Schizosaccharomyces pombe: one gene and its partners. The protein of the gene in region 2 interacts with the protein of the main gene of each other region in a biochemical or structural test. Each region holds a gene or a part of one and is shown on either strand. Other genes may lie near its edges.

Region 1 (3,834 bases), on a different chromosome or scaffold from region 2:
TTTTGTAATTTTATCTTAGTAGTTTCACCTTTAACTTGCAGACTCATACATCCTCGATACATTATTGTAATTTTTGGTATTCCTTTCCTAACATCCGCCCGGGCTAATCAAAGAAAAACAAAAAGTAAAATAAAGATGCTACAGATTAAAAACTATTTTAAGAAAAATGTTTTCAAGTGGATGCAAAGCAGCGTTGGGCTGAATATTGCAATTTGTTTACATCTTCTCAACCAAGCTCTACATGAGTAGCAGTAATTGTTATTCAGAGTATGGCAACTAAAAAAGAAGTTGGTATCTTGTATTGCATTGATACAATCCTGTGTTTGCTAAACTACATATCTAGTGGAGGAAACAGGATAATCTTAATAAGTATTTACTATAAGCAGTACGTACTTTCTCAATGAGACTTACAAGTCATTGCAAAAAAGCTAGTGCTAAACCCATCCAAGCATTACTCTATAATTACACAATTCACCACAGCGTTCGGACCTTTTAGCTTGTCTGAAATCGCCAACAAACCATTTTCATTCATTTTGCATGTGATACATCTATTCCAACTCCTCGATGTTACCACGTTCAGAAACATAGATACCATCCAAGAACTTACGGATATCCTTGTTGCGGACATTGCAAATTTGCTTGATGTTGGCAGCGGATTGAGAAACATTCTCCAAGGAGTTACCTTCAATTATAATCTCATCCTTGACGGCAGAAGAAATGGAAACGGTAACGCCAGGCAAACACTTGATGACACGAGTAATACGTTCGCCCAAAAAGTTACGGATCTCAACAACGGTTCCGTTCTCAGTCAAATTGATGTTGATGGGAAAGTGAGCATAGACAAGACGCATCTTGTAGCGGAAACCTTGGGTAACGCCAATGATCATGTTATTGATGATGGAATAGGCGGTACGAATGCAAGCATTATGCTTACGAGAGCCATGCCAGACAATAAACTTGATAGTGTTGCCTTGCTTCTTCAACTCAATATCCACACGGCGCAAGTTTTGCTTCAAAACACCACGAGGGCCTTTTACAGTCACCAAACGAGCCTTGATGTCAACTGAAACGCCCTCAGGGATCGTCAATGTCTCGTCCTTGTAAATATCGCGGCCCATGTTGCTGTTGTTTGATTTTTTCTAACGTACGGCGTTCGGCAGGTTGTTTGTCTGGCTTCAGTTGTCTATTCATAAAAAACAGTCACGAAAGTTTCGAGCTTGAAACGAGACGTTTTACGCAGCGTGTTGACTTGCACTAGTGTGACTGCTTTTCTTTGGTGGAAACTTTAGTAGGAAGCAACAGTGTCGCTGAGTTTACTCTTGACCAACGACGACGACGAGATGGCATTAAAGACCTTTGAACTTCGTAAGCAATCGCAAGAGAACTTGGCTGAGCAATTACAAGAGCTCCGTCAAGAGCTTGCCTCTCTTCGCGTACAAAAGATTGCCGGTGGTTCTGGTTCTAAATTGTCTAAGATGTAAGTAAATTCTTAGGAAATAGGTATTGCTTTGTGAGAAGCAGTACTGGAAATGTATTTAGAAGGCATCTAAGAACAGTGGACATGAAATAACCTGCGTTGGCATATTTTTTCCGTCTTTCTGGACCGATGGAAAAAGTGAAAAGTTTTTTCCAGGTCAAAAACAGCTTGTAGCACCTTTTTAGATGTCGCCAACCAATTCTTTGCATCGGTTTTTATTAGTTTCTATTGATCTTCTAAACATTATGATGTTCCTTGTTCAATGTTTGCTAACTTATTTATAGTAAGACTACCCGCAAGGACATTGCTCGTATCTTGACTGTTATCAACGAGTCCAACCGTCTTGCCGCTCGTGAGGCTTACAAGAACAAGAAGTACATTCCTCTTGATCTCCGTCAAAAGAAGACTCGTGCTATCCGTCGCGCTCTTACTCCCTATGAGCAAAGCCGCAAGACTCTTAAGCAAATTAAGAAGGAGCGCTACTTCCCCCTTCGCAAGTATGCTCTTAAGGCCTAAAATGTTTTTGTAGCTAAATAAAACTTGCCATTTTTACCTTGCTTAATTAATTAAAAATCTCATTTGTAGTGTCCTAGGCTAATATGTATTATTGTAAGTGTTAAACAGTAGTTACTACCCAAATTTGACATAGAGTCGGGTTACGTCTTAGCTGCTGCATTTATCCTGTTCCTACCATCTTAGTTCTAAGGACGTACCGGCGTTTAATATTTTACCAATTACTTGTATGCCCCCGTTAATTGTTTCTTCCATTATCATAAACCTTTTCTATTCTGGTGCATAGACAAAAGTGAAATGACCCACGAGCTTTCCTCAACACCTCAAATTGACCTTTTAAATGATATTCTGAAAAATTCAGTGGAGTCAAACGTATTTTCTGATTACCAAAAGAAGCAAATCGTTACTCTAATTCTTAAATCTAAAATCAGCACTGCGATTGTGCTTTTAAGTCCAAAGTCCACTGCTGCTTCAGAATGGAACTACTTATGTAATTTACAAGACTTGCACGAATGCGTTTTGTGTGTAGATACTATTTTACCCGCAAACTTGCAAACTATTGCAAAGCGTATTTTCTCACTTGTACTACTTCCACCTCTGAATGACTGGTGTAAGCAGCTAAGAGACGCGTTTTTACGGTTTGTATCCCAGCCTTCAATATGTCCGACGGACTTTCCATTAAAACTTTTCTTTCTTTCAACTGTTGGCATTGAGCTGCTTATAGTCAATGAAAAGATTATACCCCAGAAAACTCAAAAATATCTACTGTATGAACTATTCTCTTCTCCTTCTTCAATAACGGCAAATGAGATTGCTCGTCTTTGTCAAGAAGCTAATAACCGAAATTATCTTCTTCAATCTCTCACCTCTGCTACTGATGCTCGACGCGCCTTTTTAAATAATCCTAATTACAGGCTTCTTAGTGCGATTATCTTCCAAGATGGTCCATCCAACCTTGCCTTCGTGCTTGCCAAGGACTGCGTTCTTCTAGCTCGCCAACCGGAAACTATTCCAGTCTCTTTTGAAAGGATGTCCTCTCTTTTATTGATGTGTTTACCTAGTCACCCTGATTTTATAAGTCCCGAGTTCTGTCATGAGTGGACCGAATTAGCTGAACGTAATGGACTTCAAGAGGAATGGCTAAATATCTTAAATACTGCCTGCAACTTTAAGGAATGCCGTGCTATCATTCACAAAGAATGTAGCGAATTTATCAAAGATAATCACACTTCAAGAGTTGCTATACTCATTTCAATGAAGTTAGCATTTCAGTACCAGCTTTCTCAAGTTATTCCTACATTAAAGCTTCTATTGCAGAGTAAAGTATATGATTCAGTTTTATTAGAAGCGTTACGACAATCCTCTACTCTCGGACCCGTAAAGCAACTAATTGCCGATGATTCCTGTCTTTTAAATAATTTATCAAAACTGCTTTTAGATACGAACATTTCACCGTTGGATGCAAGTTCTATTGCTACAATAATATACAATATGTGCAAGTTCAAAATCACAAAATCGGAGCATGAAAGAGAATTGAACCAACTTCGTAACATGGCTGAAGCTTCAAAAACTATTGATTACAAAGAAGATGAAACCGCTCCTACTGAACGGAGGATTCAAAAAATTTTAGAATATGACATTCTGTCAAAACTCTTTTCAGCGGCCAAGCACTATAATAGCCTAAACGGGTTATTAGCAATGATACTTGTACACATGGCTAATTACAAGCTGGCACGTCGCAAGCTAGTACAAATAGGTGCATTGAAATTCCTTACTAGACAATGTTTTATCCAAACCCAGGATTCGAATGCGGCTTTTGCATTAGCGAAAATTCTTATCAGTGT
Region 2 (3,600 bases):
ATTTTGAGGGCCTGTCTTGTACATGGGATTCAACAGATTTGGTCTGCAATCCTCTGGTCATGGGGAGATCTATTATCGAAGAAAGATTTGACTCAAAATGTGGGGCCTGGCATTTTTGCAGGGGGACTTATCGCCTCTTTCATTTGCTTCGGGCTTTCCTACGTAACATTCGCAGGTTTACCTGCTTTTTATCGCCAAGCTCCTTCTATCATTCCAGCGTTTTATCGTTCATTAGGAAAACGAAATATTGTAATTTGGTTTTTTATCTCTCAAATTTTAATCAATTACTGGCTTGCTGTCCCTTATGGCCAGGCTTGGAGGTTTTTCTGGAATACTAGCAACACTCCTTTGTGGAGCATAATCATTCTTTTACTCATTTTCTTCATCGTGGTTTGGGCCGTTCTCTTATCAGTTATAAAGATTTTGTCTCTTAATAACGTTTGGTTTCCAGTGATATTTGGATTGGGCCTCATTTGTCCACGCTGGTGCTTAGAGTTTTGGTCATCCTCGGGTCTCGGAATTAATTTACCATGGGCTGGTAAGGCTTCTGCCTTGCTGACGAAGTCAGTATGGCTTTTGCTAGCTCTATGGGACGGGATACAGGGAGTCGGTGTCGGTGTAATGTTACTGCAAACCCTGGCGAGAGATCATGTTGCTTTCACGTTGATGCTAGCGCAAGTTATAAGTTGTATTACAATTATGATCGCAAAACCTTCTCTGCCTGTAAGTGATCGAGTATTCCCAAATCTTGGTGCATGGAATCCTAGCGAAGGACCGGGACCTTGTGCATCACCTTGCTTTTATATTGCACTAATATGTCAATTTGTAGCTGTTGGAGGATTGCTCTATCACTATCGTAAAAGTCAGCTTGCTCTTTAGTGTTTGATCTACGATAATGAGACGGTGTTTGGGTTGTTTTTACTGAATTTTTCTTTTATTTTATGACATCTTAATTTTTATGTTAATGATTATTCTTATACTTTTATCTATCTTTGATTAAAACTAATATTCATTCTTTTGATCACTAATTATTTTTATAGTATACGATTCAACCCAACTATAATACATTGTATCAAGAGAAATTTTTAATTAGATGTAATTTAATAGCCATTTGATAAAAAAAAATTACCTTTTTTTTTGCTAGTGTTAAATTATTGATCATAACAATGTCGAATGAATACTAATAAAATAGGGACACGCGAGTTGCAAATACTTGAAATACCTTTGAAGATTTGTCTGTGAATTTTGATAAGATTTTTATGACCATCTCTTTTATATTCGATATCGTGAACTTTCATTTTCTTTTGTTTTTTGCTTTTCAAGTTAAATAACGCGGAAATTATATTTCCTTATATGTTTATAAGAGCTTTTAAAGGATTTGCTATATCGCTTACAGTACTACAACCGGTTGCTCAATGTTATCCGTTTCCGCGGTCTTCTTCCGTGCGCATTCTGCCGTGAAGTGCTAACGCTGTGTGTGGCTTTATCAAAAAAGTGGCTCAAATATAGCAATTTCATACATATTTAAACACCCATTATACTTAAATGTATATTTTAAAATATATAAGAGATTTTCACTGTATAACTGTGTATCTTATCTATATGTAATCAACGGCTTCATACCACCTCAGCCAGCCGTGTTATAACTTACCGTTTACCAACTACATTTTTTGTAACGAACCAAAAAACCCTCAAAAGACAAGACCATGGAAGAAGAAATCGCAGCGTTGGTTATTGATAATGGCTCTGGTATGTGCAAAGCCGGTTTCGCTGGAGATGATGCCCCTAGAGCTGTATTCCCCTCGATTGTCGGTAGACCCCGTCACCATGGTATTATGGTAGGTATGGGACAAAAGGATTCCTACGTTGGTGATGAAGCTCAAAGCAAGCGTGGTATTTTGACCTTGAAGTACCCCATTGAGCACGGTATTGTCAACAACTGGGATGATATGGAAAAGATTTGGCATCACACTTTCTACAACGAGCTTCGTGTTGCTCCTGAGGAGCACCCTTGCTTGTTGACTGAGGCTCCTTTGAACCCCAAATCCAACCGTGAGAAGATGACTCAAATTATTTTCGAAACCTTTAATGCACCTGCCTTTTATGTTGCTATTCAAGCTGTTTTGTCTTTGTATGCCTCTGGTCGTACCACTGGTATCGTCTTGGACTCTGGTGATGGTGTTACCCACACTGTTCCCATTTATGAGGGTTATGCTCTTCCTCATGCTATCATGCGTCTTGATCTCGCCGGTCGTGACTTGACTGACTACCTTATGAAGATTCTCATGGAGCGTGGTTATACTTTCTCTACTACCGCCGAACGTGAAATTGTTCGTGACATCAAGGAGAAACTTTGCTACGTCGCTTTGGACTTTGAGCAAGAACTTCAAACTGCTGCTCAATCTTCCTCCCTTGAGAAATCTTATGAGCTTCCTGATGGTCAAGTTATCACTATCGGAAACGAGCGTTTCCGTGCCCCTGAAGCTCTTTTCCAACCCTCAGCTTTGGGTCTTGAAAACGCCGGTATTCATGAGGCTACTTACAACTCTATCATGAAATGTGATGTTGATATTCGTAAAGATTTGTACGGTAACGTTGTTATGTCTGGTGGTACCACTATGTATCCCGGTATTGCCGATCGTATGCAAAAGGAGATTCAAGCCCTTGCTCCTAGCTCCATGAAGGTCAAGATTGTTGCTCCTCCTGAGCGTAAATACTCTGTCTGGATTGGTGGATCCATTCTTGCTTCTCTTTCTACTTTCCAACAGATGTGGATCTCCAAGCAAGAGTATGATGAGAGCGGACCTGGTATCGTTTACCGTAAGTGCTTCTAAGCTCCTCTTACTTTTTGTAACGTTTTTTACATACTTTTGAATAACATCGATTCTTCTGATATATATAAATTTCAATCTTTTTTTACCTATTTAACCACCTTTTTCCGCTCTTAACATCTCATGAGGAACTTTGGGTATCAATTATTGGAGTGTTTTATATACTTTCTGATTACTATCGTTTTCTTGCTCTGTTTTCTTTTTTTCATTATAGACGAATGCAGAGCTAGCCTTTTACATATTGAAGTTACAGAAATATTTCCAGTAGATACCTATGATGTTACTTCATTCGCTTATAACTTCCCGTTTTCTTTAACATGTTTCTTCTCGAGTCCGGCCGATTATTTTTGTCGATATTTTCGTTATGTTTATCGCTGTGATTATCGATTAAAGAACTGTAGTAAATGAATTTTACTTACTCCCGTTAATTTTTACGAATTTTATTTTGTACAAGGTGGTAACTGCGAGATAGTTAGAAGCGGAAGTGGTGCAATGTACTTCATCAGCCATTTCTTTTCGTCCTGTAGAGTTGTATCATCTTCAGTACTGATTTAATTGGTACCTGAACTTGTATAACTTTGAAGCCAAATGGTTGAATGTGTTTTACATTAGTATTAGCAAAAGTTTATTAGGTCAAAAAAAGATTTAATACATACATGGTATATGATCATTGTTGGATAGTATAGTTGAGGTAAAATTCTTATAAATTGTAAGACATTGGTATGATTAGTGTTCTTCAAATATAAAAAGAGAGGAAGTAGTGAATTAT
Region 3 (3,834 bases), on a different chromosome or scaffold from region 2:
GTTTCAGAGATGATTGAGCAAGAGCTTGAATTACTCGGTGGAACAGCAATTGAAGATAAACTTCAAGAGAATGTACCAGAAACTATCGCTCTTTTGGCTATTGCTGGAATTAAGTTGTGGGTGTTGACTGGTGATAAGGTAGAAACGGCAATCAACATTGGGTATTCATGCAATCTTCTTGATCCAAACATGACTATTTTTCGAATTGATGCAAACTCTTTCGGTGCCTTAGAAGAAGTAGAAGCTTTTATTAGAAACACATTATGCTTTAATTTTGGATACATGGGAACGGATGAAGAATTCAGATTTTTGTTGAAAGACCACAGTCCGCCATCTCCGAAACACGCCATAGTTATTGATGGGGATGCCCTGAACTTTGTTTTGTCTGAACAGGTCTCTTTTCTTTTTTTAATGTTATGTAAGCAGTGTAAGACAGTTTTGTGCTGCAGGGTTAGTCCCTCTCAGAAGGCAGCTGTTGTTGCTTTAGTCAAGAAGAGTCTAAATGTTGTCACTTTAGCAATTGGAGATGGCGCTAATGATGTTTCGATGATTCAAGAAGCCGACGTTGGAGTAGGGATAAAAGGCGTTGAAGGGCAAGCAGCTTCAATGTCGGCGGATTATGCCATCGGTCAATTTTCTTTCCTAGGGCGACTACTTCTAGTTCATGGACGATGGGACTATAAAAGAATGTCTCAAATGATTTCATTCTTTTTTTACAAAAATGTTATTTGGACATTTATACTTTTTTGGTATCAATTTTATAACGAGTTTGATGGAAACTACATATTTGATTATACCTACGTGATGCTTTTTAATCTGCTGTTCACATCACTACCCGTAATTATTGCAGGTTGTTTTGACCAGGACGTTGACGCATCTGTTTCAATGAAAAATCCAAGCTTATACCAACGGGGAATTTTAGGTCTAGAATGGAACGGAAAGAGATTTTGGTAAGTATAACTCTGAAGATTTCTGTTTGCTAAATATTTATTTTAGGTCTTACATGCTAGATGGAATATATCAATCATTGGTATGCTTTGGGGTAGCTCTATTTGTTTTTAAGTTTGGTGATTTTGTAAGTTGGACTGGAAGGAACATCGAGTGTATAGAAGACATAGGACTTTTTATATCCTCTCCTACTATTTTTGTAATCAACATTTTTATATTGATGAATCAAGAGAGATTGAATTTAATATCACTTATTACTTGGATGTTCAGCATAGGTGTATTTTGGATATGGACATTTATTTATTCAGAAGTTGGCCCCTCTTACGCTTTCCACAAATCAGCTTCGCGAACTTGTCAAACTTTTGGCTTTTGGTGTGTTACTGTTTTAACCATTGCCTTATGTTTGTTGCCTCGCTTTTCCTATATTTGCTTACAAAAATTGTTTTATCCTAGAGATATTGACCTTTTACGGAGACGACTTTGTGCAAAGTCAGATGATGAGACTAGCAGTAGTTCATCATTTGCAACAGATATAGAAATGTGCGAACAATGTAACGACCCATTAAGTTCGAAAAAAAATTCCGGTATTGTTACTTCAGTTTCATTCGATGATTCTAATAAGTAGCCATACATCTGAGTTCGCACTGTTTGTTTATGTAGTTATACTACTCCTACCGGACGAGAGTCTTTTTATTATCCTCAACATCACGAATGACTTTTTCTTAATGTTCCCTTTTTTTTCTAATAATTAATGATTATGATTAAGTCATTTTTTTAATAATCTTATAATAAACTAACATTATGAGACAAGCAAACTTCGTATGGTTGAATAAATTTTATTTACCTCTTTACAATGAGGACGATAAGTATGTAGAATGTAAAAAATATTAAACCCGAATTAATGTCTCAAGTTTTATTAATCTATAAACAGTTAATATAATTAGCAAAATTTACCAGCTGCTAATAAGTGCGTTGCAAATTTTTATAGTACATAGCGTAGTATAGTATACTACACTAATTATCACTCATTGGCTTGTTAACTACAGTGAAAATGCTAACAAACGGGAGGAACCAAAACACCACTTATACCACTGTGAGACAGCAATTTTTGAATTGCATTACAATCCGAAAATTCAAATGCCTCCATCTTCCTCTATAACTCAAGAGGATAAGGCAACTATCCGTAAATACATACCTAAAAGCACAAATAAAATCATTGCAGCAGCCGTCGTCAAGCTATATGTAGCTTATCCTGATCCGAACAAATGGAATTATACAGGTCTTTGTGGTGCTCTTGTATTGTCCTATGATACAACAGCAAAATGCTGTTGGTTTAAACTGGTTGACGTTGTGGTATGTGTATGAAGCTTTGATACTCAAAGCAAACTACAAAGAGTGGTATACAATTTAATTGAATTATAACCTTCTAACGTTTTAGAATAATAGTGGTATAATATGGGACCAAGAGCTTTATCAAAATATGGACTATCGCCAAGATCGTACATTTTTTCATTCTTTCGAGCTTGATAAATGCCTAGCAGGTTTTAGTTTTGCAAACGAGACAGACGCTCAAAAATTTTACAAAAAGGTTTTAGATAAAGGTTGCCATCCTGAATCAATTGAGAATCCGGTTTTGTCATTTATTACCAGAAAAGGTTCTTCTAGACATGCGCCTAACAACAGCAATATCCAACCTCCCTCAGCTGCTCCTCCTGTACCTGGAAAGGAAAATTATAATGCTGTTGGATCTAAAAGTCCCAATGAGCCCGAGCTTTTAAATTCGCTTGATCCGAGCTTAATTGATTCTCTAATGAAGATGGGCATTTCCCAGGATCAAATTGCTGAAAACGCAGATTTCGTCAAAGCGTACCTTAATGAATCAGCTGGTACACCTACCAGTACTTCTGCACCTCCCATCCCTCCAAGCATTCCTTCCTCTCGTCCCCCAGAGCGTGTTCCTTCTTTGTCTGCACCTGCTCCTCCCCCAATTCCACCTCCATCTAATGGAACTGTCTCTTCTCCTCCTAACTCCCCTCCCCGTCCTATCGCTCCTGTTTCGATGAATCCTGCTATTAATTCCACCTCGAAACCTCCACTCCCTCCACCATCTTCAAGAGTCAGTGCGGCAGCTCTAGCTGCTAACAAAAAACGACCTCCTCCGCCTCCGCCTCCATCCCGTCGTAATCGTGGTAAACCACCGATTGGTAATGGTTCTTCTAACTCGTCTCTTCCTCCACCTCCACCACCTCCTAGATCTAATGCTGCTGGCTCAATTCCTTTGCCGCCTCAAGGTAGATCTGCTCCTCCTCCACCTCCTCCAAGGTCTGCTCCTTCCACTGGGAGACAACCACCCCCTTTATCTTCATCTCGTGCAGTTTCAAACCCACCAGCCCCTCCTCCAGCTATTCCTGGTCGTTCTGCGCCTGCACTTCCCCCTCTTGGTAATGCATCACGAACAAGCACACCTCCTGTCCCTACACCTCCTTCTCTTCCTCCTAGTGCACCTCCATCTTTGCCCCCCAGTGCACCACCTTCTCTACCTATGGGCGCACCAGCTGCTCCCCCCCTACCACCTAGTGCACCAATTGCTCCTCCTCTACCCGCTGGTATGCCAGCTGCTCCACCATTGCCTCCCGCTGCACCAGCTCCTCCTCCAGCTCCAGCTCCTGCGCCCGCCGCGCCTGTTGCTTCGATAGCTGAATTGCCTCAACAAGACGGCCGTGCTAATTTAATGGCCAGTATCAGAGCCAGCGGTGGTATGGATTTACTGAAAAGCAGGGTAAGTATTGATATTATTACTTAATGGTTACTCGTACTAATATTTTCCAGAAAGTATCTGCTTCTCCTAGTGTCGCATCTACAAAAACTTCGAATCCTCCGGTAGAA

Evidence for each region.
Region 1: the proteins of act1 (region 2) and rng3 form a complex in vitro, tested with the Schizosaccharomyces pombe proteins (one study listed by BioGRID).
Region 3: the proteins of act1 (region 2) and wsp1 form a complex in vitro, tested with the Schizosaccharomyces pombe proteins (2 studies listed by BioGRID).

Annotation. Positions count from the first base shown.
Region 1 is NC_003421.2:87,064-90,897, reverse strand, and holds the start of rng3 (UCS-domain protein Rng3), read left to right. Parts: upstream 1-2,209; 5' UTR 2,210-2,287; coding exon 2,288-3,834. Other genes in the region: rpl902 (60S ribosomal protein L9), read right to left, coding at 549-1,118; rpl35 (60S ribosomal protein L35), read left to right, coding at 1,341-1,477, 1,762-1,993. UniProt on the Schizosaccharomyces pombe protein: Essential for actinomyosin ring assembly during cytokinesis. Has a role, in conjunction with F-actin, in assembling myosin II-containing proteins, such as myo2, at the division site.
Region 2 is NC_003423.3:1,475,383-1,478,982, reverse strand, and holds act1 (actin Act1), read left to right. Parts: upstream 1-1,649; 5' UTR 1,650-1,706; coding exon 1,707-2,834; 3' UTR 2,835-3,498; downstream 3,499-3,600. Other genes in the region: spore wall alpha-1,3-glucan synthase Mok12, read left to right, coding at 1-879. UniProt on the Schizosaccharomyces pombe protein: Actins are highly conserved proteins that are involved in various types of cell motility and are ubiquitously expressed in all eukaryotic cells.
Region 3 is NC_003424.3:4,861,700-4,865,533, reverse strand, and holds the start of wsp1 (actin assembly factor), read left to right. Parts: upstream 1-2,026; 5' UTR 2,027-2,085; coding exon 2,086-2,301; exon of another isoform or gene 2,302-2,386; coding exon 2,387-3,727; exon of another isoform or gene 3,728-3,777; coding exon 3,778-3,834. Other genes in the region: SPOM_SPAC4F10.16C (P-type ATPase), read left to right, coding at 1-950, 997-1,573. UniProt on the Schizosaccharomyces pombe protein: Has a role in regulating actin assembly, so regulating polarized growth.